Linked DNA regions of Rattus norvegicus. The protein of the gene in region 5 binds, or shares a complex with, the protein of the main gene of each other region. Links are inferred from orthologs where the notes say so. Each region holds a gene or a part of one and is shown on either strand. Other genes may lie near its edges.

Region 1 (4,222 bases), on a different chromosome or scaffold from region 5:
ATTCCGAGCCTTCTGTCATCTATTCCCTGCTCATGGACACAGAGCACAGAGCCCCCAACAACTGTGGATGGCAAGAGGTCAACAGCGCAGATGGGGAAAGAGCTTGCTCCAACCCTGATGACCTGACCTCCACCCCCAAAATCCACAGCAGCATGCGATGACCTGAAGGCGGTCTAAATGTCACACTGTGGCGAGTGTGTATGCCCACACATCCACATAAATATGTTCTACAAAAGAAACGAGAAACCCACAGCTGTCAGCTGTGAATGATGACTTTGGATTATTTATAATCCTACTACCCAGGAGGCTAAGGCAGGCCAGTCAAGCAAGAGACTCACAATGTCATTCTTGTCTACACGTGTCCCTACAATCTTCAAGCGTATCTCATCGTCCTGCTGAATTACAATGTCCTGTGGAAAGGAGAGAGCAGGGTCATCAAGCAGACTCAGGCCTGGTCCTCATCCCTCTCACCAACTCCTCCTCATTCGCTCACCTCATCCATGGTCTTGTAACAAGGGGGGTTCGAATTTGGATCAAACTCCATCTCTGAAGGGATGGACTAGAAGGAAATTGACACAAAGGTTAGCATTTCAAATAGCTGCATCAAAGGATGAGAGTCAGGGGCTGGTTTCTCCTCCTCGGCCTCACCCCACACGCCCAGACTCACGTGTCGAGAGATGAAGCAGGACATGGGCCCAATTTCTGTGAAAAGTCCAACCTAGAAGGAAAATGACCGTGCTTCAAACGCTCTGAAGCATCTTTACCTGATTTCTAGGCACATTATTCATGTTTCTTAACAGTTTAAATTGTAGCATTTGTTTTAATTTCTCTCTGTGTAATCTTTCATTTCTTTACATTTTTGTTCTTCATTATTTTTATGTGTAAGAATATTCTGACCTCACATGTGCCTGTGCACCATGTACCTGCAGTGCCCATGGAAGCCAGGAGAGGGTATTGGGACCCTGCAGAATTAGGAGTTACAGATTATTGTGAGCCATTGGCTGGGTGCTGGGAGTCAAACCCAGGTCTTATAGAACCAGTAGGTGCTCTAAACCACTGAGCTATAGACCCCTTAGCCTTTAAGAAACTTAATTTCTGAGGCTAGAGAGATAGCTCAGTGGTTAAGAGCACTGACTGCTCTTCCATGGGTCCTGAGTTCAATTCCCAGCAACCACATGGTGGCTCACAACCATCTGTAATGAGATCTGATGCCCTCTTCTGGTGTGTCTGAAGAGAGCTACAGAGGAGTGTGTATAATAAATAAATCAGGGGCTAGAGAGATGGCTCAGCGGTTAAGAGCACTGATTGCTCTTCCAATGATCATGAGTTCAATTCTCAGCAATCACATAGTGGCTCATAATCATCTGTAATGGGATCTGATGCCCTCTTCTGATGTGTCTGAAGACAACAGTGTACTCATATAAATAAAAATAAACAAACAAACCTTAAAAAAAAAAAAAAAAAAAAGAAAAGAAAACCCAAAACTAAGATAAAATAAAATAAATCTTGACAACCACAAAAGGCTTAAGGCAACTAATAAGTGGACTGGGAATTGAACTCTCACCTTAGGAAATACCCCGTAACCTTTCTTTTTTTTTTTTTTTTTTTTCTTCTTTTTTTTCGGAGCTGAGGACCGAACCCAGGACCTTGCACTTCCTAGGCAAGCGCTCTACCACTGAGCCAAATCCCCAACCCCATAACCTTTCTATAAATAATACTCTTACCTTGTTGACCTGAGTGACCACAGCATCCACCACTTCCCCTTTAAAGGGCCGGAAAACAATAGCTTTGTATTTCACTGGATAAAGAACAAAACCTCGGCCCGGCTGGATCACACCAGCACCAATATTGTCGATGGTAGTGACAGCAATCACAAAGCCATATCTGCAGGAAAGATGAAAAAAGACAGCTACTGTATGTGAAGAGCCTCTAAAAAGCCACCAGCAATAGTCTGCGTGTGATGGAACCTCTGCTCGAACAGCTCGATGACCAAGAAGAGACAGAACTCAGATTAGCACCTGAAATATTAAATGGTGCTCTCACAATTGTACAGTAAATGCCCAAGAAGGCACAGATATGCTGACATACACCTATTCTCTCAGTACCAGGACTTGCCAGGTCAGTGGTGAGACAGGTCTTTCGAAAACCACAAATCAGACAGAAAATTGTGACGAAAACCTTTAATCCCAGCACTCAGTGGCAGGCAGTTCTCTGAATTAGAGGCCAGCTTGGTCCACATAGTGAGGCCATCTCGAAACCCAAAACATTTGCATAATAACGGTCTGATCTCGCATAAGCGAAGAAAATTTGGTTTAGCAACCTTTTAGAAGGCCCAAAATAGGCAAAAACTGGCTGCTTCGGATGCCTGGAGTGGTGAAAGAGTTCCTCAGAGTAAGTAACAAGCCCTGACTGAAGGAGTGAAGTAGAGGTTACAGAGTAGCGTTATTGTGCCTGCATTCAGCAGACGACACTGTGAATCAGACACTTACTTCCCAGTGCAGGTCCCCTCCACCTCGGTGAACAGCTTCTGCTTCACCGTGTTGAGCAAGTTGGGACCAAAGTAGCGTGGGTGCAGTAGGATCTCGTGCTCCAGGGAAATCTGCAGAGAAAGGAAGATGAAGACTCCGCCAGCCACACTGAGAACAGGAGGCGACCCGTCGGCCCTCCAGGCTCCTCCTGTCCCTGCCCTCACCGCTACCCCGCGTCCAGCTCACATGATAAAACATCTTCTGCAGAAGCTTGGACCGCAGAGGCCAGAACTCCCCAGGAAGGGACCTCGCCGGAAGCACTAGCAGAAGTCCCACCAAGTCTCCGCAGTCGCTTCCGCAGATTTGAGTCTTAACGCCATGGGCGGGGAAACGTGAAGCCCCGCCCCTCAGGCCTTCCCATCAGCGCTCATCAGCACAGCCAGGATTACACAGAAAAACCCGGTCTCGAAAAACCTTAAAAAAAAAAAAAAAAAAAAAAAAAAAAGGTTAAGAGGTCTGGCTTGTCGCCACATGCCTTTAAACCCAGCCGTGGCAGACAGATCTCTAAATTCAAGGCTAAGCCACATCTACAAAGTGAGTTCCAGGATAACCAAGACTGTGTATACAAACCCTATAAAAAAATTTGTTTTTGGGGTTGGGGATTTGGCTCAGAGGTAGAGCGCTTGCCTAGCAACCGCAAGGCCCTGGGTTCGGTCCCCAGCTCCGAAAAAGAGAAAAAAAAATTGTTTTTTAAATTTTATTTTAGGGGCTGAAGAATTAGCTCAGTCCTTAAGAGCACTTGCCAGCCCCCACAGGATAGCTCACAATCTTATCTGTAACTACAGTTCAGAGAGAACTGACACCCTCTTCTGGCTTCATTCAGCACTGCATGCTAGTGGTACACAGACATAATGCAGGCAGAACACCGATGCTTGTAAAATAAAAATAAAGATGAGGTAGTTGGGGAGATTGCTCAACAGTTAAAATCAATGGTTGCTCCTCCGAAGGATCCAGGTTTGATTCCTAGAACAAACATGGTAACTCAACTAGCTATATTTCAATCCTAGGGGATCCAGTGCCATCTGGGGCCTCCATGGACACTTCTCCCTTGTGGTGAACAGGCATAGATACAGCCAGAACATTCATACATATAAAATAAAAATAAAGGTTTTTACACATAAAATAAAAATAAAGCTCTCGAAGAGGACCTGAGTTCAATTACTAACACTGCACCCGAGGTCTCACAACTCCAGCTCGAAGGGGATCTGAAACTTTCTCATTGCCTCAGGAGGTACCAGCACTTGTGGGCTTGTACTCACATACAGATAACAGACATCATTGAGTACACCTAATTAAGAAGAAGTCACTTGGAAGTGTGGCACACGCCTTAAATCCCAATATTCAGGAACAAAAGGCAGGTGGGTCTTCAAGTTCAAGGCCAACCTGGTCTACAGCATGAGTTCCAGAACAGCCAGGGATACATTAAAAATGAAGGTGTCGGGGTTGGGGATTTAGCTCAGCGGTAGAGCGCTTGCCTAGCAAGTGCAAGGCCCTGGGTTCGGTCCCCAGCTCCGGAAAAAAAAAATGAAAGTGTCTTGTTAAACAAAACAAAAAGACAACAAGCAAAAAGATTACTTATGTGGGCACGCACTGGGCTTACTTTCTTTTCTATTTGAGGGACGGTTTTATTATGTGACCATGGATGACCTGAGATTTGCTTTGTAGAGTAAGCTTGCCCTGAACTTTTTTTTCCC
Region 2 (4,197 bases), on a different chromosome or scaffold from region 5:
GAACTCTCAAGTAACCAATCCTATCAGACTTTATGCTTTATCCTGTAAGAAATGTTATAATATCCGCAGTATATTCTAAATAAGCAGTGTACACGTGTATAAGGTCATATCTACAATAAGGGGAAAATATAAAGAAAGTTTAGACTACAGTACTCAGGCACAACACTGTAGATACAGCACTGTAATACTCAGATACACAGCGATAACCAGACAGCACCTGGATTTACTGGTCTAAACCTTACAGCCCCAGAGCCTTTCTGTCACCCAAATATTTAAGTATGTCTGGGTTCACTGCCACATCAGAATCCCAGTATGGTACCAGATACATTTTGATCTCCTTTCCAATTTTTTCTACACAAGGTACTTTCAAACCACATTTTGCTTTCTGCAAACTCAGCAGCTGACAGAATAGAACATAATGGCTTCAGAAACATGCAAAAGACCAAAGGGCAGACGAATGCCAGCATAGCCTATTGTTTTCTGTATTCCTTTCCACTGCTTTACTCCTCTCTAGCCCAGGCGCAGACACTGTATGGTCCAGACATTGGTTATCAACCCTGACTGTAAAGCAGTCACCGAGGCAGCATTTTTAAGCATCCTAACACTAACACATAAAACATTCCCAAGAGTTGTTTCAGCTATTTCAGAAGGGTCGGATTAGGAGCACTGCTACTTTTAAAATCCCTATAGATTGCTCTACTGTCCCGTGGCCATACCATTGTGGATCCTGCTAATAGTGAACATCTGCATGGGGAGGACCCAGTGCCTATTGTTCGGTCTGTTTCCTGTCTGATACTCCTCAGGTCAATACAAAGGAACCATATCCAGACTCTTCCAGCCAATAGTCTGAAGCTTGGAAATCCCAGGTCAGTTTCTTGGTGTTAGCCCCAGAAAATCCATAGTCTCTTCACATATAAAATGATTAAAGAGCCTTTCTCACACAGTTAATATATGAATTAAATCAAATAACTAACAGAACACATCTGCTTCTGGGCTGGCATATGAGTTCACCTGAAGTACTGACATTCAGAACACACCCTGCCCCCATCTAACTGACGTGTATGCCAGTGAGCTGGTTTGAAAGTGTTAGCATTATGATTGTATCAGGAGCTGTGGCATAAAACCTAAACCTAGGAAGAAAGGGAGGGATTGCAAGGACAAGATAAATGAAATTTGTTACAGAAACAAAATAGAAAGATTCCAACAATATACTGAGGAAAAAAAAAAAAACTTGACACAAGTGCCTGTGTCAAGCCATAAGGAGGAACTGTGCACAAGAAATAGAAAACATCTTAAAGAGAACTAACTCTTATAGACCCGAGGCAGGGCCATCCACTTTCAGAAGTGTCTTTGACAAAATACCATCCTCCCTGGAAGACTCACACAAGGCAGCTCAATCTCTGGGTTTCTTAAAGCCCCTTAAATCAAGTTCTGAAATTGACAGCCCGTGTGGGATGTTTTCAACATTTTATGAATTGGTTGTCAACAATTAAAAATCTTGGTGCCTATAAATCTCCTCTTGCAGATCCGAAGTAAATGACAAAAGTGGGCCCACGTTACTGCATTACCTAGTCTCTAGGGGAAGTGACTCTCAAGAAAGCAACTTCTCTGTCTATGGAGACTTCTTGGTAGGGTAGCTACTGGTCTTCATTATCTTCTTTTTACATCTCACAACTTCACTTTACCCAGTCCAGACCTAGATTCTAATTGTAAAAACATGTAAGGACTACTGTGCCCCTGGTTTGGAATTGAGAGAATCAATAGTTGAAACCACTCTGCTTTTAGCATAACCATCCTCATATCCACCCACCAGTTCCCTCCGTCCTCAAAGCTAAGCCCAAACCTTTCTCCTACCCTCCTTGGGCATTGAGTAACGTTTCCTGGCCTTCCCAAATCCCCAACAGTAACATCTAATGCTCTCCCTCACACTTCCTCAGAATCTGGGCAGTTTCTACCTCTATGACCAGAGACTTCATCTTGTTCAATGCTACCGCCTAGCATAAACTACTCAGAGACTTAAATCCAACTTTCAATACATCCTCTGGGCACGTGTTCTTGTACTATACCCATCCTGCCAGCTTCTACACAAATCACTTGTTTCACACCTGCATCCCAGTAATGAGAGCTATAAGCCATTCTTCTTACTTTTAATTTAACTTGTAATTGCTTTAAGCAAGGAGTTCCTAGATTAAACGTGTGATATTTGAAAAACCATACTGGATGAAAAGTAAGGGATAAAAGAACAAAGTGGGTGCAGGAAGCCCTTTTAGTTAAGACTATTTTAAAACACTACCTCTCAGGTTCTAAAAGAACGTGGATTCTACAGAGCCTCTACAGTTTTCTGTTACTGTATTTTACGAATTCTCCATCCCTTCGTCCTTTAAGGGGTCCACGACGGAGACAGCTCTGGACCGAGGTGGCTCCACCAGCTGTGTTCAGACGTGTCCAAACCCTGAGACCCCACAGTCCCTCAGACGCGCCCAGGGGCTTCCTGGGCCACACTTGACGCCACCAAGCCCGTCCTACCCGAAGTCGCACATGGGCCGCTCCGGGGCAATGGTTCTTTGGAAGACTAAGAACAGGACCAAAGCAAGAGGTGGCCGAGGAGAGGGGACTAGAAAAGGAGAGGGGCAGATAGGAGGAGCCATGAAATAAGCCACGCCGGGTCAGAAACCGGGAACAAGGAGCAGGGAATGAGGTTTACCCAAATGGATGCTCGAACACTCCCACTACAGCCGCCCTCAGCACCTCAACTACCGGCTTCAGCCAGCCCACGCCACTTGCGAGACAAGGACGAACGCTTAATTCCTGCGACCAGTTTGGAAACCGCCCGTTAATCCGCACAGCGAAGCTTTCGATCAGTCACGTTCTGACCGACCAATAAGATGATATGCCCTGCCCACAAGCCCTGCTCGGATTGGTGAGAATCCAGGAAGGGGCGTCAACCTCAAGGAAATCGTGGCAAGATGGCGTCCCTGGATCGAGTGAAGGTTCTGGTATTGGGAGACTCAGGTGAGCAGCTTAACCCGCGTCTGGGACTACCGACGAGCCCGAGCTTCCAGATACCCCCTCACATTTCGTATTTTTACCCACCAACTTCCTAGCGCTTGGGTCCACGGCTGAAATTCCTTTCAAGACCTTAAAACTACACTTCCCAGAGGACTTTGCTCCTTTTGTCGACGTGGTGGCGTGGCGGGAGGTGGGGGCGCAGAGCCCCGGTCTTTCTGTCTTTCTGGTGGTCTCCCAGGCAACCCCAACCTAGAGTCTACTGTCAATTCCTTTATTGCTCTTGTTAAGCAAACAGAACTTGATGCGATCGCGCCTTCAGGAAACTTTGTTCATTGAGTCAAATATACACTAAGAATACACTGACCTGTATTAACAACTTTAATTCTAAAATCAGACTTTTAACTCCATTCTACAGATGAAAACTATGAGAGGAACTGGTTCGAATCCACAGTAGCACGCAGTGAGATGTTAATTAGATGGATTTTACTTTTAATTACTTTCTACATACCTGAGAACTGAACCTGGGTCTCTTGTGCAACAAGAGATGCTCACTGAACCATCTTTCCAGCTGTTCCACCGCAAGCTTTGTTGTTGGGGAGTGGGGTTGTAGGGTAAGACATGGTCACACTAATTAGTCAGGACTAATGTAGAACTGACTATGCATGTCAAGCTGGTCTAGAACTCACTATATAAACAAGGCAGGCCTAAAACTAATATACACCTACCCCTGCCACCAACCTTCTTTTTAAAGACAAGCTCTCCCCTTGGCCTGGAGAATAGGCTAAGGCTGTCAGGCCAGCAAACATCAGGGATTGCTTATCTCTGCCTCCCCAGCACTGATGTACAGACATAGGCCTCTATACCTGGCCGCTGTGTGTCACTTCTGTGGACACAACTCGGGATCTCAAGCTTGTAGGGCCAGCACTGAGCCCCAGGTGATTCCTTTGTTTGTTTGTAAGTACACTTTGTATATGATCACAGTAACAACATGGTCATAGAAAAACATCATGTGGTCTAAGGTGAATTTTGCTTTTTATACCTTCTCAGTTGTTGAAAATAGCATTTTTATAATAAAACATAAGTAGGGATGATATGTGTGTGTGTGTATAAATTATAGCACACAAAGAGATTTCCTAGGTTTTTTATATAATTAACTACAGACAGTTAAATGAATGAGTGACTCCACAG
Region 3 (3,994 bases), on a different chromosome or scaffold from region 5:
CTTTGTTTCTTTTCTACTTGTCTTTGTTTATAAGTAGACGTTTGCCAAATGATAGGGCCAGAAAAGGACGGGGCGGGGGGAGTATCTAAGGCACAGGTGTTGGTTTCAAAGAGGTAGTGAAATGGTAGGAGGAAGGGCCTGGAGTCTTCATGTAGGTGGATGGGATTGGTGTGGAATCCTGTGTGGAATTGTGAGAATAGGAGGATCAAACTGAGAGGACCCAGTAAAACACAGGGTAGAATTTCATTCCAAAGGCAAGTGCCAGAGGAAATTACCAAATGAAGACTCAGGAGGCAGAAGCTGTGATGAAAGCTGGCAAGCTCAGAGAGGCAGAGAAAGCACCCAGCTGACCTTCCTACTCTACCAGCTCTCCATGCACTCTCCAACACCCTTCAACTCAAAGTGCCTCCTTTCTCTTGCTTATGTTCACTCTCTGTCAGTTGGTTACTTGCTCTGCCTCTTGATCTAGGGTTGACTTTATTTAGCTCTGGGACCGAGGTGTGCGCACCAATACTGTTCCAGGCCACAAATACTTGTTTACAGTAAACAGAAAGTTCTGGGATCAAAGGCTGAGCCACAGTTATTAGCAGATTCTTCCAGTTCACAATCTCAGAGTTCATAGTGTGATTAAATATCCTGCAACAGGAAACTGTTTAAGCAGGGCAGTTAAATAATCAGATTTATTTCTTGCGTGGTGGGTCTTACTGACCCAAATAGATGGCATTTGGGCTTTGGCGTCTGAAAGAGTGTATTCTTCTTGCACCGTGTGAACTTATTTTTAAGTCTCGAAAAGGCATGTGTCCAGCATACTCACTTGTACCTTAGTGCCCACTTGTGCCAATGACATTGGGCCAAGAAAGTGACTTTTACCCCTAAGTCTGTCCTTTAAATGCCTAGCCTCTTCAGCTAGGGTTGGGTATGAATACATACAGTTTTTGTCTGTCTTAACCTTTTTTCCCCCATTTTTGGCACCTTTTCTTTAAATGCACTACTCAGGATTTGGTTTTTCCTTTCTGCACTTGGGTCTCAGGTTTGCATGTTGGCAGGAGTCACACCCACCTGAGAAATTGCGGAAGCAGGAAATTTGTCCCTCGCGGGACGCTGTCCGGACGTACCGTGCGCAGGCGCACTTCTTCATTCAGCGGCGTGTTCCTCTCGTCTTAAGTTTCTAGTTCCCGGCCGGTGAGCCACTCCGGCTTTTCGCGGTCTACTTGTCCCAGCGTCCGGCTCTGGACTGTCTATCGCTCTCTGACGTTCAGTCCCGGGTCGCTGCTTGTGCGCGCACGCCGCCTCACACGACAAACTTATGGCGGAGCGCGGGGAACTCGATCTGACGGGCGCCAAACAGAACACCGGCGTGTGGCTGGTGAAGGTGAGACGCGAGCCCCACGGGGCGCTTCCGAAAGTTCTGGGTCTGTCTTTCCCGGGCCACCGCTGTTCTGAGAAGCGGGTCGCTGTTGCGCCTGTTTGCAGGTTGGAGAACTTACTTTAGGGGCCACAGGGCATCTTTCAGTCTGTCTGTCAATTTCATCCGCCCACCATAGAACTCTGTTTACCGCCAAGACCTGGCCTTCCTGATGTTCCCGAGAAAGCAGTAAATTTTACCCCATGCCGGAAAAGCCCTTGCGGGTTTGTTTGTTTGTTTGTTTTTTGTCTTTGTTTTGGTAAGGTTAACTTTAGTCATGAATGTGTATAAATTAGGTGAGTAGATACACAGTTTTCTGGACCACAAAGTGGAACTGGTCCCTGTGAACTTTTGCTGTTTTGTTTTGAAACAGAATCTCTCTCTCTCTCTCTCTCTCTCTCTCTCTCTCTCTCTCTCTCTCTTCTCTTCTCTTCTCTTCTCTTCTCTTCTCTTCTCTTCTCTCTTTCTCTCTGTCTCTGTCTCTGTCTCTGTCTCTGTCTCTGTCTCTCTCTCTCTCTCTGCTGGTCTGGAAGACTTCTGTCGCTTTACACTGGTAAAGTGTTCCCTGAGTTGGTAATCCAATTGGAGTTTTCCACTGGTAAAGTGTTCCCTGAGTTGGTAATCCAATTGGAGTTTTCGAAAGACCTGGAAGTTCCGAATTCAAAGAGAAGTTTGTTGACTTAGTGTTTTTAAAGAGCGAGTTTAGGTTTCATGAAACTTAACCATCAGTAAATGTTTTAAACGGACACGTGCCAGGCTTTGTTTGCCCCAGTGGTCACCATCTATTTGGGTTACATTTTTTATATGGACTGGGGGACTATTACTCTGTGGGAAATCTCGTTTTAAAAAGCCGTATTTAAATGGGATCATCAACGTTTCCCAAAGTTGGTTTATCAATGATTTATCTTTATAGTGAGTGTCAATGTTTTAAGCACATGGCTGAGTTCTCATCAAGACAAGGTGTCTTTTCCTGTCCATTACTCTGAACAGCTCCCGTTTGCCAGTTCTGCAGACCATGTTAAGTTTTTCAAACCATTTAACAGTTTCTGGTGATTCTTTGTACCTGTACCCAGTGTTGATTGCCTCCACCTCCAAGTCACTTTCTTTGCACTTTGATTAGTGTTTGGCACATATTACTTTCCCAGTGTGTGATGAATATAAGAAATTGAAAAGGCTGTATATCAGAGAGACACAAAACTAAAGTGGGTGGGGGTTAGTCTTCTCAGTTTCATCAGATTAAGAGCTTATGCAGTTAGTGAAGCACACCTTTGGGTGTGTTTGTGGTGCTGTTTTCTGGAGGCAAAGTAGGTCATGAGGGCTATGATCTAATTAAGGGATTAGTTACTCCTTAGGTGGATTTGTAATATGGCGTCTCTGGGAAGTAGTGAAAGGTGGTGAGGTGAGGGCCTAGTTGGAAGAGGTAGATACTGGCGGTATGTTCTTAGGGCTGCCCTGGCCCTGTCTATATCTTCTCTATATCGTGGCCATTGCGATGTGAGCTTGCAGTGCTCCTCCTCGCTTTTCCACAGATAGAGACTAAGATACCCAGTGCAAAATAAATCTTTAATTGTTTCTGTCAGATATTTGGTCACAGTGACTAAAGTCTGATTAATACAAATAATACAGCAGAGGGTTGTAAGTAACAGGAGAAAAGAAAACCTACTCTCTTCCTTTCCTCTCCCTTCCCTTCTCTCCCTGTCTTTTCATCTTTCCCTTTCTCATTCTCTTCCTTTCTGTAGTTCAGGCTGGCCTGGAACTCACTGTGTAACCCAGGCTGGCCTTAAACTCATGGTAATCCTCCACCTCTGTGCGTTTAGAGCATCTGTGCTTCTTGCGTATTTATGTTAGATAAATAAAGCAGAGCTATCAAGTAGGTGCTCCTGTGGTGCTGCACACCTTTAATCTGAGTGCTTGAGAGGTTAGCCTGGTCTACATTTGTGAGTCAGGGGAATGTAGTAAGACCCAGAAGCCAGAAGAGGGCATTGGATCTCCTGGTACTACCGTTATAGCTGGTTATGAACTGCCATGTGGGTGCTGGGAGTCAAACCTAGGTCCTCTGGAAGAGCAGCCAGTACTTTTAATGCTGGGCCGTTTTTCCAGCTCCCATCAAACTTAAATATTCAAACCATTAAAAATTTCACACGCTATTTTGAGATACGCTGCCCACAATCTCACCTAGCTTTATTTCTGAGTCGTATCAGTATCCCTGGGTTCAGTTTTCATATCTGTAGACGGGGGAGAGTACATTTGAGTTTGAAAAGAGATTGAGGGGATGAATTTCCGATGTCTACAAGGTGTCTGACAGAATTGTCTCCTCAGCCTTCCTCTTTTCCAGCCTCCGGCATATCATCTGACACCCTTTGGTAGTCCAGTAAGTTAATATGATGAACTTACACAGAATCGAATACATAACAACCAGTCTTTCTTACTCCTTTTTTAAAACCATAACTGTAGTCAAGGTACTGCCCCACTCCCCCAGCCCCCATAATCTTGTTTCCCCTTTGCAGCCCCAACAGCTGTGTCTCAGTCCTGTATTCATTGTGATCATGTTATTATTCTGAGATTACTATGAGACAACTGGCACTCAAT
Region 4 (3,930 bases), on a different chromosome or scaffold from region 5:
TCTATCCTGCCTGCTTGTGCCTCTAGTCACACAACCCTTTCCTCTCCTTCACAGTCATGGTTCTTTGTTCTTTGTCCTTTTTGACTCCCTTTAGTCTTCCTAACCAGCCTTTGTAACTCACGGTGCGCTCCCCGAAAGTGAAGAAATGAATGTCTCCGCTACTAGATACATCAGTGGAGTCAGTTGTTTATGGTTCTGTAAAGACTAACATGGAATCACCATATCTCATCCTTCTCAGGTTCAATGTCTGTACCACCCTTGACCCTCTGAGGGTCCCAACTCCTATGAGTCCCACAGGCTCCCTTTTTCTGATTCCTCCCCCGAGAATTGTACTTTCCATCTCTGACACTGGCTCCTCTACTCAAGTTATATTCCAAAGGCATCAACCAATGGTGGGGTGGGAGCATGTGCAGATGCGTTCCTGTCGTGCAAGGGTTGGTGTGCACAATCAGGTGGTGGGATACCTGCCCACCGCCCCCTTCCGTTGCCTCATGTAGACCAACTACCCCATGTTGTTACCCTTCTCCTGGGGCCGTAAAGCTCTGCCCAGCTGGGGCAGCGTGGACTCGCACAGACCCATCCCGCCCGCAATGCTGGGGTACGCCGGGGCCGGGTCTCTGCCCTGCAACGACTCCTCGGCTCCGCTTTACGTCACAAGGGACTCATTTTGCAAGATCCTCGGGATCCCCTGACTCCAGGACACAAAAGAAAACGGAATCTCAGACCCACCCCAGAAGAGCCCCGGAGGCCATTCCACAGAGCGAGCCTCGGTTGCCATGGCAACGCGGCCTCCGCTCCCGCTTCTTGGACATTTACGCTTGCGCGAGAGTACCGAGGACGCGAACACCAGAAGACTCCATTCCCACCCTACCCAAGATGCTCCACGTTGCCCGCGTCTTGACGTCACGAAGTGACGTATTCTCACGTGATTATAAGTTATCCGTGATGTAAAAGAGAACACTGGGAGAAAGCAGCTTTATTTCGCTCAGAAGCTGGAGAAGACACAGACTAGGTACAGTGGTAGCTCTCGTCTCCGTGTGGCAGTTCTACTTCCGGGTCAGGCTGTGGCGCATGCGCAGCGTTCTAAGTCTCTTTTTTTTCTCGTCTTCCAGCATTCTAGGAGACTTAAGGGTTTGGAAATCCAAAGCACAGGATCACACTAACGTGACAACCAGGAAAGGTGCTTTCCCTGGGTCCGAGGGACACAACCAAGACCATCCAGGTCTGGCCGACCCGGAGCAGCTTGAGCAACGGCCATGGCGGCTCTAGTAAGTATGAATGAGGTGGGGATGGAGGTGTCGCAAAACAGACCCCGCGCCCTCTTCTCGCCTTACAGACTCCTGTTCTTTTGCAGGGCTCCAGCAGCCAGAATGTCACTGAGTACGTCGTCCGAGTCCCCAAGTAAGTCCCCGTCCATCCACACTTTAGAACCTCGGCCCTGTGTTCCCCTGCCACGCTGGCCCTACTGCCGCGTCCAAGACATAGTAATATGTCTTGGTAAATCTTGGTAGTTAATGTTAGGGTCTGTGACTCTGTCCTGTTTCAGACTGGTCAGGCCAGACATGGTGGCTGCCTTTAATCTCAGCACTTGGGAGGCAGAAACAAGAGAATTTCTTTGAGTTCGCGGTCAGCCAGGTCTATAGAGGGAGTTCCAGACCAGCCAGGGCTACATATCGTGAGAGCCTGTCTCAAAATAAAACAAAATTCCAAACTGGTCACAAGTAGTACACATCCTGCTTTCTGTGCCAAGTGCCATGGCCCTCAACTTCTAATTTTATCTTAGGTGGGCCTGTGGTAGGCAAGCACTGTACCACTGATCTACACCTAGTCCCCTTTTATTTTTTTGTTTATTTTGAAGACACAGTTTTACTGTGTAGTCTAGCCGGTTTGACCAGGCTGACTTTGAAACCCACTAAGACCCATTCACCTCCAGCCCTTGCCTGCCTGCCTTCCTCTCTACATAAAGGTTCTCTACACCTTTGGTTCATTTTTTTCTTTTTTCTTTTTTTTTTTTAAAGATTTATTTATTTATTATATATAAGTACACTGTAGCTGTTCAGACACACCAGAAGAGGGCATCAGATCTCATTACAGATGGTTGTGAGCTACCATGTGGTTGCTGGGATTTGAACTCAGGACCTCTGGAAGAGCAGTCAGTGCTCTTAACCACTGAGCCATCTCTCCAGCCCCCGGTTCATTTTTTTCTTAAGGATTTAGTGTTATCTCTGTGTATGCCTGTGTGTATATAGATGTGTGTTGTGAGAGTGCCTGGTGCCTATGGATCTTTATATGGGGTTGGATGAGATGGAGTCTTTAAAAAAAACAAAACAAAAACAAAATTAAAAAATCCCTGAGAAACTGGAGCAGTGGTTTTCAACCTGTGGGTCGCCTAAGTCCATCAGAAAACACAGATATTTACATTATGAATCATGATAGTAGCAAGCTTACAGTTATGAACTAACAAAAATAATTTTATGGTTGGGTCACTACAGCATGAGGGGGTCATAGGGGTATTAGGGGTCATAGCTTTAGGAAGGTTGAGGACCATTGTTCCCGAGTCTTTTTTGAGTTCCCAGAATTACCTACAACCAAGGGTGTAAATCGTAGATTTGTTGAATGGCTAATCGATGGATTGAATAGTTTCTTGCCCATTCCAGGAACACAGCCAAAAGATACAACATAATGGCTTTTAATGCAGCTGATAAAGTCAACTTTGCTACCTGGAACCAGGTAAGTGTATGCCTCTGGGTGTCTGGGGCAGAGACCTAACCCTGGGCTGGTGACTTTACTGAAACAGTAGTGCCCACACCTGTAGCCCCAGCAGACCTGTGATTCCAGCTATTTGGTGGCTGAGGTAGAAAGACTGAGTGTTTTAGACCAGCCTATACTAAATAAATCCTATCTCAAAGAGAAGAAGCTAGCCTGAGGGTACGGTTCAATTGATGGAGCACTCATCTGGCATATAGGAGGCCAGGGGGACCACCAGCGCCATGTATAATGGGCATGTTGGCTGGCACACGCCTGTTATCCAGCATGGGAAAGGGGATAGGATCTCAAATTGAAGACCATCCTTGGCTACATAGTGAGCTTGAGTGAAGCCCCGGATATATATATATATATATAGACCATGTCTATATGTATACTATAAAGTAAAGTAACGGGTAACAAGATGACAAGCAGGCCATGTCATGTACAAAAACAAATGCATTTTATAAGTTTGGAGTGTTTGTTTTTAAGATAAAGCCAGCAGGCCATAGTGACACATACCTTTAATGCCAGTTCTTGGCAGCAGAGTCAGTGGATCTCTGACTTTGAGGCCAGCCTGGTCTGCACAGTGGGCTTCAGAGCAGACTGCCTATACAGTGAGACCCTGTCTCGAAAGGATAAAACCATACCACAAGATGGGTACAGCCAGGGATACTAGCATCCCAGCACCAGGGAGGTGGAAGCAGGAGGATCATAAGTTTGAACAGCCTGAGCTACATAACAGGATTCTCTAGATAATACTAAGAGGAAAAAAGTGTTAAAGGCCAAAGTTTTAAACTACCCAGTATTCTGGGTGTCATGTTAAAATGTTACTATTTCCATATTGTCTGGGTTGCTCCTGAGCCTTCCTCGGGTGGTCTCCGTGATCTCATGGACCAGTCTGTTTTACTGTTGTAAGTCCCACATTCCTCATGACCAGAGTCGTGTGTGTGTGCATATGTGCATGTGGGCATGCTGTGCATGTCAAGGCTAGAGTGGACATCAGCTGTCTTCCATAGTCACTCTACACCTTATTATTAAAATGACATCTGTTGGGCCACAGGTGTGTGAGGGATGCAGAGTTGAGATCAGAGAAGAGTTTGCAGGAGTCGGTTCTCACTTTATGCTGTGTGGGTCCTAGGGCTTGAACTCAAGCCTCAGTCCTTTTGCAGGCTATACTTTATG
Region 5 (3,500 bases):
CTGGGGATCGAACCCAGGGCCTTGCGCTTCCTAGGCAAGCGCTCTACCACTGAGCTAAATCCCCAACCCCTATTTTTAATTTTTAAAGACATGGTCTTACCATGTTGTTCTGGATGGCCTGGAACTCACAGAGATCTTCTGCCTCTGGGATTAAAGGTATATACCACTTAATGGGTTTTTACGTAGCATAATTAGAACAGCTTGGTAGTCCTAGTAAATATTTTTGTTACTTAAAGGAAATGGCTTCCCAGTAGATACTGCTTTAGCTCTTTTTTTTTTTTTTTTTTTTTTTGGTTCTTTTTTTTGGAGCTGGGGACCGAACCCAGGGCCTTGCGCTTCCTAGGTAAGCGCTCTACCACTGAGCTAAATCCCCAGCCCCGCTTTAGCTCTTTAAATATACATTTTTCCCCAAAATTAATAGTTAAGGAATGAACTTTGGGAGTCCTGAAGAAAATTACTTAGATTTAAATATTTGGATTGGGGGTGTTATTCTCTTTGTTTTTTATCTCACACTTTCCTGAGAACAGTGCACTCTTGGATAATACTGAATGGAGTTGAAGTACGTTAGGATTAGAAGAGGAGAAGTTGTTTAAAAGGGGAGCCGATCAGTTTTACAAAGTATATGAGAATTTGGAGTGTTGTAGGTAGGGCCAAAGTGCCCTGTGTCTGTGTGGAGGCATGGGAGGACAGTGTTGGTGATCAAACTCTGGGTTTTGTGCATGCTAAGCAATCATCTTTTATTACTGAGCACCACTTTAGGCTGGCCTCAGTTCACTGTCTAGAGGATGGCTTTGACCCTCCTGTCCCCAGCTCCCTGAGCTCCCAGTGCTAGGGTTATGGGTGTGGTGCCATGCCTAGTTAGGCTGTATGTGTGCTGGGCAGGCACTCTGCTCACTGAGCTATATTAGATTTTCTTTTTAAACAGTTTTTTGTTATTTTATCTTTGTTGCAAGGTCTGGTGTATGGACTTTGTAGATGACAACTGTGTCATAGTGTCAAAAGATTGAATGTGCCTGAATTTAAGCAAAACCCTTGCAAATTGTGAGTGGAAGCGGGCTGTATCCCTTCTTCCTTTCTCCCTCCTTTCTCCTAAGGCCTGTTTTTAAAGGGCAAGTGTGCATATCTAATAGAAAGTAACTTGTAAACTGGCAAGGTTTGTCAGTTGTCCTGTTTCTCTCCTTTTAGAGGATCTATAAAAGGAACTTCAAAAGCAAAATAGGTAAATATAACATCACAAATACTTGCAGTAGACCTCTTTAGTTGCTCACTAAAAACTATGGAAAGTTCAAGGAGAGTTATAGGGCAACCGAGGTAGATGCAGGGATTGTTGTAGTTCATTGCTTCAAGAGACACCATAATCAGTGCTACTCTTATAAAGGCAAACATTTAATTGATTTACAGTGTCAGAGGTCAGTTCATTATCATGCATCCAGGCAGATACGGTACTGAAGGAGCCAAGAGTTCTACATCTTAATCCCATCTTGATCCAGAAGGCAAGAGAGAAGATGAGTTCCGTAGTGGACAGAGTTTAAGCATAGGAGACTTTGAGAAAAGTCCTCCCCCTCCCCCTCCCCTCCAGTGACACACTTCCTTCCAAGGCCACACCTCCAAATAGTGCCATTCCCCATGGGCCAAACATTCAAACACATGAGTCTTCGGGGTCCTGACTATTCAAATCAACACAGTGATTTTACAGCAAGAAGTGAGAACCTCAGAGAAAGTGCTAGCAGATATGTGCGTGCATGTGTGAGCCACGCAGGGGCGCGCCCGCGCGCCCGCGCGCCCGCACGCGCGCACACACCCACACACACACACACACCATACTAAAATGTACACAGAAAAGACAGGTATAAGACCTTTGAAAATACAGAATAAATATAAAATATAGAATAATATGAAAAGATTGAGACACAAGTCATTCTCAGTCCTTAATCCTGCTGTCTTATCCCTGTGGTATCTTGTTCACCTTTTAGATGGATGTGTCCCATGAGAAGCCACTTACTTTAGAACACATTTCCCTTAACATCCAGGTGCACAGCGCGGTGACTGGATTAATCTTAGAATCTCACTGTCTTCTGAGAGGCCCGTTCAGGAGCCACATCCCCCACCTCTGGGTTACCACCTTTGGCATTCATAAGTTGGCAATATATATGTGTGTGTGTGTGTGTGTGTGTGTGTACAGTCTATCCCTGATCAGCTTTTGGATCTACTTACGGAAGTTGCCATCGGTGATCTCATTGTTTGTGTCCAGCCCATCCCTTTTACCACAGTGGAGGACACTAGAGGTGACCTTTTCTTGAAGCATGAGCGTACGACTATGGTCCAATAGTGAAATGGCCACACAGACAACTTCCTGTTTAAAAGAAAACAACTATATAGCATTTATTGTGCTGTAGCTAAATTAGTCCTCACCAATGGTCATGCTGTTAAGAGTGCATTTTGTTTCCTGTAAGGGTCGAGGTACTTTATATTGTGATAGTCAGTGAGAAAGCCTATTTCCTATGACGCATCAGACATTCATAGTTTTCTATCTGATCGTGAGAAGCATCTTGGCGAGTTGTCTGTTTATGTTTAAGGACATTTGAATTTCTTTTTCTGTTATCTATGGTTTCCTGCAAGTTTTGTTTAATTGATTTGCAATAACTAGGAAAGTCTGTTTTTGGGGCTGGGGATTTAGCTCAGTGGTAGAGCGCTTACCTAGGAAGCGCAAGGCCCGGGGTTTGGTCCCCAGCTCCGAAAAAAAGATCCAAAAAAAAAAAAAAAAGGAAAGTCTGTTTTTGCTGTCATCCTCCTCTTCCAGATCAATACATCTTCATCTTGTTATGTACCCTCTATCAGTTTTGAACTTTTATGTAGATTAGGCTAGACTTGAAGTCATCATTTCGCCTAGGCTGGTCTTCAACTTAGGACTCTCTTGCCTAAGCATCCCACATACTGCGGTTACAGGTGTGTACTCCCATACCTGGCTTAAAGTTGGAAAACTGATGTTTTTCCTTGTTAGTTTATCGTTTGACTTTTTACCAATCTGGTTTTGTATGATTTCATGTTGTTGATCCTGGTAGTCATACTGCCTCAGATATTACATGTTGTATATTCCTGAAAAGATCAGTTTATATCAGTTTACATATAAAACTTTCCTCTACAGACACGACATCAGCGAGGAGATACGCATCCCTTAACTCTGGAAGAGATTTTGGATGAAACACAGCACTTAGACATTGGACTCAAGCAGAAACAATGGCTAATGACAGAGGTAAGACGACTCTTAAAACTTGTAAAAATGGGTATTTGCTACATCTATCTAGAGGTGTGTGTGTGTGTGTGTGTGTGTGTGTGTGTGTGTGTGTATGTGTGTGTGTGTGAGTGGGGGAGGGAGGCAGGCAGGCAGGCAACGCAGGGTCTTTCGTAGTGTGTGTTGACTTCGGACTCAGGGCACTCTGCTTTAGCTTCAAGAGTCACCATGCTTGGCTCCGAGTGTTTCTTTGTTCTTTAAATAAATC
Region 6 (3,950 bases), on a different chromosome or scaffold from region 5:
CTATCCTGACCCTCAGGAGTCTGAGGTGGGTGAGTCACGAGTAGGGGTGGGGGGTTGGGGGGAAGCCCAGGCTACAGAGTGAGCTCCTCCGGACCAGTTTGGGTTACATAGTGAGACAGTCTCAAAAGAGAGCAGGAGGGGGCTGGAGAGATGGCTCAGTGGTTAAGAGCAATGACTGCTCTTCCAGAGGTCCTGAGTTCAAATCCCAGCAACCACATGGTGGCTTATAACCATCTGTAATGGGATCCGATGCCCTCTTCTGGTGTGTCTGAAGGCAGTGACAGTGTACTCACATAAAATAAATAAATAAATCTTAAAAAAAAAAAAAAGAGAGCAGGAAGGGTTCATGAGAAGATTCATGAGGTAAACCGCCATTGTCTTTTGACCTGAGTTCAATTCCCACACATGGTGGAAGGAAAGAGCTGAACCAAATTCTGCAGATTTCCTCTTCCTTCCATAGGCCAGAGGTATTGGATTCCATGGAGCTAGTCCTAAAGGTGATCGATCGTAAGCTGCCTGATTTGGAGGTGGGGGGGTGGGGGCTGGAAACCCTAATCCTCTTCAAGATCAGAAAGTGCTTTTAACTACGGAGCGGTTCCTCCAGGCCCTTAATTAATGCATTTTTGTTTGTTTGTTTGTGAGCCTAAGCTTTAATATCTGAGTCATCTCTCCAGCCCATATTAATGAATGCTTAAAAAACACGTGGTAGAATCTTGCTAGAGTAAGAGTTCAATAAATAGGAGGAGCTGTTTTTAGGTTTCCTGTCTTAAGTTTGGATACCAGTATTTTATAAATCGTGCTTGTCTGGTACAATCTCGCCTTTGTAACTTAAAGGCTCCGAACAGCTTCCAATTCCTCTGTTATTTTCTCCTAAACTCTATTCCCGACTTGGACAACCAGGACAGAACCAGGAGGAGCAAACGTCAATGAACTGTAACGATTCTCTCGACATTCTACTTTCTGTGTTCTGTTCGAAGTCTTCGGCGATCCTCAGCGATGCCTTGGGCACCGCTTCTCTCCGGAGTCCGCCCTCTCACCGCTATGCGCACGCGCCAGTTTTCCGATTGGAGGAATGACGGGAAGACTCAGCCAATGGCATCGCGAGGAAGGTGGTGCTCTAGGTCACGCCCCCTCGTTGAATATTCAGGAGGCGGGCGAGTGGACGCCGGGACAAGCCGCCATGAAGTGAGATGGGGTCTCGGGAAGAGTGGTCGGCACTGCGGTGGGCGATGGGGCGGCCGGTGGGTGTAGCCGGGGCCAGGTCGCGGCGTGGAGAGGCTACGGAGACCGGTCCGGGTGGCTTCGGGGTCCGTGGCGGGGAGACGCCACGGAGGCGGGCGGGCGGCGCGGAGGCCGGGGCGGCTCGAGAGCACCAGGCACCGACGCCTCGTCGCCGCCAGGCTCAACGTGGATGGGCTGCTGGTCTACTTCCCGTACGACTACATCTACCCGGAGCAGTTCTCCTACATGCTGGAGCTCAAGCGCACGCTCGACGCCAAGGTGTGTGGTGAGGCCGTTCTCCTGGCACTCTGGTGGCTCCCGCAGGCTAACATCCTTGCTATCCCGCACCCTGAAAACCCAGGCAGGAGCATCGCTGCGAGTTTGGAGGCCAGCCGGGTCTGTACAGCGAGACTGTGTACTAAACAACAAATGTAATTAGCAGGACTAGGAGCCCAGTTGGTAGGGTCTTGCCTAGCTACCATGGATGAAACTCTGGGTTCCATTTTGGCACCGCATAAATTGAATGGGACAGTAATTACAATATGTTTGTAATTCCCGGAGCCGGGAGGCTCAGGAAAGATTTCTCGAGTTTGAAAGACAGCCTGAGTTTCATAGTGAGTTCCAGGCTAGCTAGGACTATATATAGGGAGACTGTTTCCAAAAACATTTAGCTAATAGGGGAGAGTCGGTTATAGCTCAGTTGGTAGAATACTTGCTTAGTGTGCCCAAATCCCAACACCAAATTAACACGGCATAAGATGATGCATACCTGGAACCCTAGCCCTGAGGAGGCTGAGGTGGGAGGAAAAGTGGAGGTTTGCAGCCAGTCTGGGTGAGTTCCAGGCTAGCCAGGGCTGTGTAGCCCGACCTTTAAAAAGATAAGGGCCATCAAGATGGCACAGCACTTCATCTTAGCAATCCTCCTGCCTTAGGTTCTTAGGTAGCTTGAGTGACAGGTTTTAATCACGCTGACGGGCAGAGGCTGATTGGTCTGTGTAGAGGTGTTCCTGGCAGTCACAGTAGTGGAGGGAAGGATTCCATATGTGGAGATCAGAGGGCAACTTTGTGGAGTTGGTTTTTCCTTCCACTTTTGTTTCGTTTTGGGTTTTGAGACAGGGTTTCCCTGGCTCTCCTGGAACTCAATGCATAGCCCAGGTTGACCTCAAACTCAGAGATCCACCTGACTCTGCCTCCCAAGTGCTGGGATCAAAGGCATGCACCAACACCACCCAGATATCCTCCACTTTAATGTGGGTTCTAGGGATCAAACTCAGGCTGTTAGGCTTGGTGGGAGCACCTTTACCTGCTGAGCTATTTCAACAGCCCTGAACACAAACTTATTTTTTTTTTTTTATTCTTTTTTTCAGAGCTGGGGACCAAACCCAGGGCCTTGTGCTTGCTAGGCAAGTGCTCTACCACTGAGCTAAATCCCCAACCCCAGAAACTTATTTTTTAAAAAAGTTTTTAATTATACTTACTTGGAATGTGTGTATACATGCTATGGTGTGCATGTGGAGGGTAGAGGAGTTGGTCTTGGGGATTGAACTCGGGTGATCAGGCTTGACCACAGGCGCCTTTACCAGCTAAGCCATATTGCTGGCCCACAAATGTATTCGTCCTCACAACCTTGCTCCAAGTAAGGCCTATAGAAGCAAGGATGTTGCAGTCCAGAGAGGTAAAGGTTCCTCCTGTCTGCTGCTCAGTAAACTCGTTAGCTGTGTCAGTAGGAGGGACACAGAAATAAGGTTCAGCCTGTAATCCCAGTACTCAGAAAGTGGAGGCAACAAGACTGCCAAACGTTTGCAGCCAGCCAGAGGTTCATAGTAAGTACTAGGCTAGCCAGGCCCTTGGGGTATAGGTGGGGATTAAGAATGAAAAATTTAGGGGCTGGGGATTTAGCTCAGTGGTAGAGCGCTTACCTAGGAAGCACAAGGTCCTGGGTTCGGTCCCCAGCTCCGAAAAAAAGAACCAAAAAAAAAAAAAAAAAAGAATGAAAAATTTAGGGCTTGGGGATTTAGCTCAGTGGTAGAGCGCTTGCCTAGCAAGTGCAAGGTCCTGGGTTCGGTCCCCAGCTCCGAAAAAAAAAATGAAAAATTTAGAAACATCCAGACCATGTCCAGTACAGAAGTCAGTGCTAGCAGCAGACCACTGAACTGAGAACAGGACCCCCTTGGGGGGAATTAGAAGAAGGAGATTGCAACCCCATAAGAACAACAATGCCGGGCTGGAGAGATGGCTCAGTGGTTAAGAGCACTGTCTGCTCTTCCAGAGGTCCTGAGTTCAATTCCCAGCAACCACATGGTGGCTCACAACCATCTGTAATGTGATCTTGGCGCCCTCTTCTGGAGTATATTCAGGCAGAACACTATATACACAATAAATAAACCTTAAAAAAATAAATAAATAAAAATAAAGAACAACAATGCCAACCAACTACATCTTTCAGGGACTAAACCACTACCCAAAGACTATACATGGACTGACCCAGGGCTCCAACTGCATATGTAGCAGAGAATAGCCTTGTTGGGGCACCAGTGGAAGGGGAAGCCCTTGCCAGAGTTGGACCCCCAGTTCAGGGGAATATGGGGGAGGTGGCAGTAAGGGGGATGGATGGGGAGAATACCCGTATGAGGGAGGCGGGGAGGGGATGGGGGTTTATGGATAGGAAACCGGGAAAGGGAATAACATTTGAAATGTAAGTAAAGTCCAGCAAAAAAGGAGGAGTGGGG

What was found.
Region 1: Gtf2e2 (region 5) and Polr2g share a complex: the UniProt entries of both Homo sapiens proteins name them as parts of the TBP-based Pol II pre-initiation complex. The link is inferred for Rattus norvegicus from reciprocal best matches to the Homo sapiens genes GTF2E2 and POLR2G.
Region 2: the proteins of Gtf2e2 (region 5) and Gtf2e1 are in contact, whole or in part, in a crystal structure (PDB 5GPY), measured with the Homo sapiens proteins. The link is inferred for Rattus norvegicus from reciprocal best matches to the Homo sapiens genes GTF2E2 and GTF2E1. Residues at the interface, in NP_002086.1 of Homo sapiens: Asp159, Gln160, Arg161, Gly162, Leu163, Gly164, Gly165, Leu167, Leu190, Val192, Asn193, Arg194, Pro195, Ile200, Phe202, Cys208, Gln209, Phe210, Ser211, Val212, Asp213, Glu215, Phe216, Gln217, Leu219, Trp220, Arg221, Val223, Thr224, Val225; in NP_005504.2 of Homo sapiens: Arg16, Lys19, Tyr20, Val21, Arg23, Gly24, Phe25, Tyr26, Ile28, Glu29, Leu32, Arg39, Leu51, Leu52, Lys53, Phe54, Asp55, Gln58, Gly68, Asp69, Lys70, Phe71, Lys73, Thr98, Asn101, Val102, Val103, Lys104, Tyr105, Lys106.
Region 3: Gtf2e2 (region 5) and Gtf2f2 share a complex: the UniProt entries of both Homo sapiens proteins name them as parts of the TBP-based Pol II pre-initiation complex. The link is inferred for Rattus norvegicus from reciprocal best matches to the Homo sapiens genes GTF2E2 and GTF2F2.
Region 4: Gtf2e2 (region 5) and Gtf2f1 share a complex: the UniProt entries of both Homo sapiens proteins name them as parts of the TBP-based Pol II pre-initiation complex. The link is inferred for Rattus norvegicus from reciprocal best matches to the Homo sapiens genes GTF2E2 and GTF2F1.
Region 6: Gtf2e2 (region 5) and Ercc2 share a complex: the UniProt entries of both Homo sapiens proteins name them as parts of the TBP-based Pol II pre-initiation complex. The link is inferred for Rattus norvegicus from reciprocal best matches to the Homo sapiens genes GTF2E2 and ERCC2.

What each region holds. Positions count from the first base shown.
Region 1 is NC_086019.1:215,118,857-215,123,078, forward strand, and holds the start of Polr2g (DNA-directed RNA polymerase II subunit RPB7), read right to left. Parts: upstream 2,801-4,222; 5' UTR 2,727-2,800; coding exon 2,715-2,726; intron 2,603-2,714; exon of another isoform or gene 2,600-2,602; coding exon 2,490-2,599; exon of another isoform or gene 1,885-2,489; coding exon 1,725-1,884; exon of another isoform or gene 719-1,724; coding exon 668-718; exon of another isoform or gene 560-667; coding exon 494-559; exon of another isoform or gene 411-493; coding exon 339-410; exon of another isoform or gene 1-338. UniProt on the Homo sapiens protein: Core component of RNA polymerase II (Pol II), a DNA-dependent RNA polymerase which synthesizes mRNA precursors and many functional non-coding RNAs using the four ribonucleoside triphosphates as substrates.
Region 2 is NC_086029.1:76,686,435-76,690,631, reverse strand, and holds the start of Gtf2e1 (general transcription factor IIE subunit 1), read right to left. Parts: upstream 2,801-4,197; 5' UTR 2,705-2,800; intron 2,666-2,704; exon of another isoform or gene 2,527-2,665; intron 2,147-2,526; exon of another isoform or gene 1,569-2,146; intron 1-1,568. Other genes in the region: Rabl3 (rab-like protein 3), read left to right, coding at 2,967-3,012.
Region 3 is NC_086033.1:57,733,678-57,737,671, reverse strand, and holds the start of Gtf2f2 (general transcription factor IIF subunit 2), read left to right. Parts: upstream 1-1,194; 5' UTR 1,195-1,306; coding exon 1,307-1,372; intron 1,373-3,994. UniProt on the Homo sapiens protein: TFIIF is a general transcription initiation factor that binds to RNA polymerase II and helps to recruit it to the initiation complex in collaboration with TFIIB.
Region 4 is NC_086027.1:1,937,398-1,941,327, reverse strand, and holds the start of Gtf2f1 (general transcription factor IIF subunit 1), read left to right. Parts: upstream 1-1,130; 5' UTR 1,131-1,256; coding exon 1,257-1,268; intron 1,269-1,354; coding exon 1,355-1,401; intron 1,402-2,657; coding exon 2,658-2,730; intron 2,731-3,930. UniProt on the Homo sapiens protein: TFIIF is a general transcription initiation factor that binds to RNA polymerase II and helps to recruit it to the initiation complex in collaboration with TFIIB. It promotes transcription elongation.
Region 5 is NC_086034.1:65,124,802-65,128,301, reverse strand, and holds part of Gtf2e2 (transcription initiation factor IIE subunit beta), read left to right. Parts: exon of another isoform or gene 1-90; coding exon of another isoform or gene 91-156; intron 157-3,145; coding exon 3,146-3,253; intron 3,254-3,500. UniProt on the Homo sapiens protein: Recruits TFIIH to the initiation complex and stimulates the RNA polymerase II C-terminal domain kinase and DNA-dependent ATPase activities of TFIIH. Both TFIIH and TFIIE are required for promoter clearance by RNA polymerase.
Region 6 is NC_086019.1:88,160,192-88,164,141, forward strand, and holds the start of Ercc2 (general transcription and DNA repair factor IIH helicase subunit XPD), read left to right. Parts: upstream 1-1,150; 5' UTR 1,151-1,180; coding exon 1,181-1,185; intron 1,186-1,400; coding exon 1,401-1,500; intron 1,501-3,950. UniProt on the Homo sapiens protein: ATP-dependent 5'-3' DNA helicase. Component of the general transcription and DNA repair factor IIH (TFIIH) core complex, not absolutely essential for minimal transcription in vitro.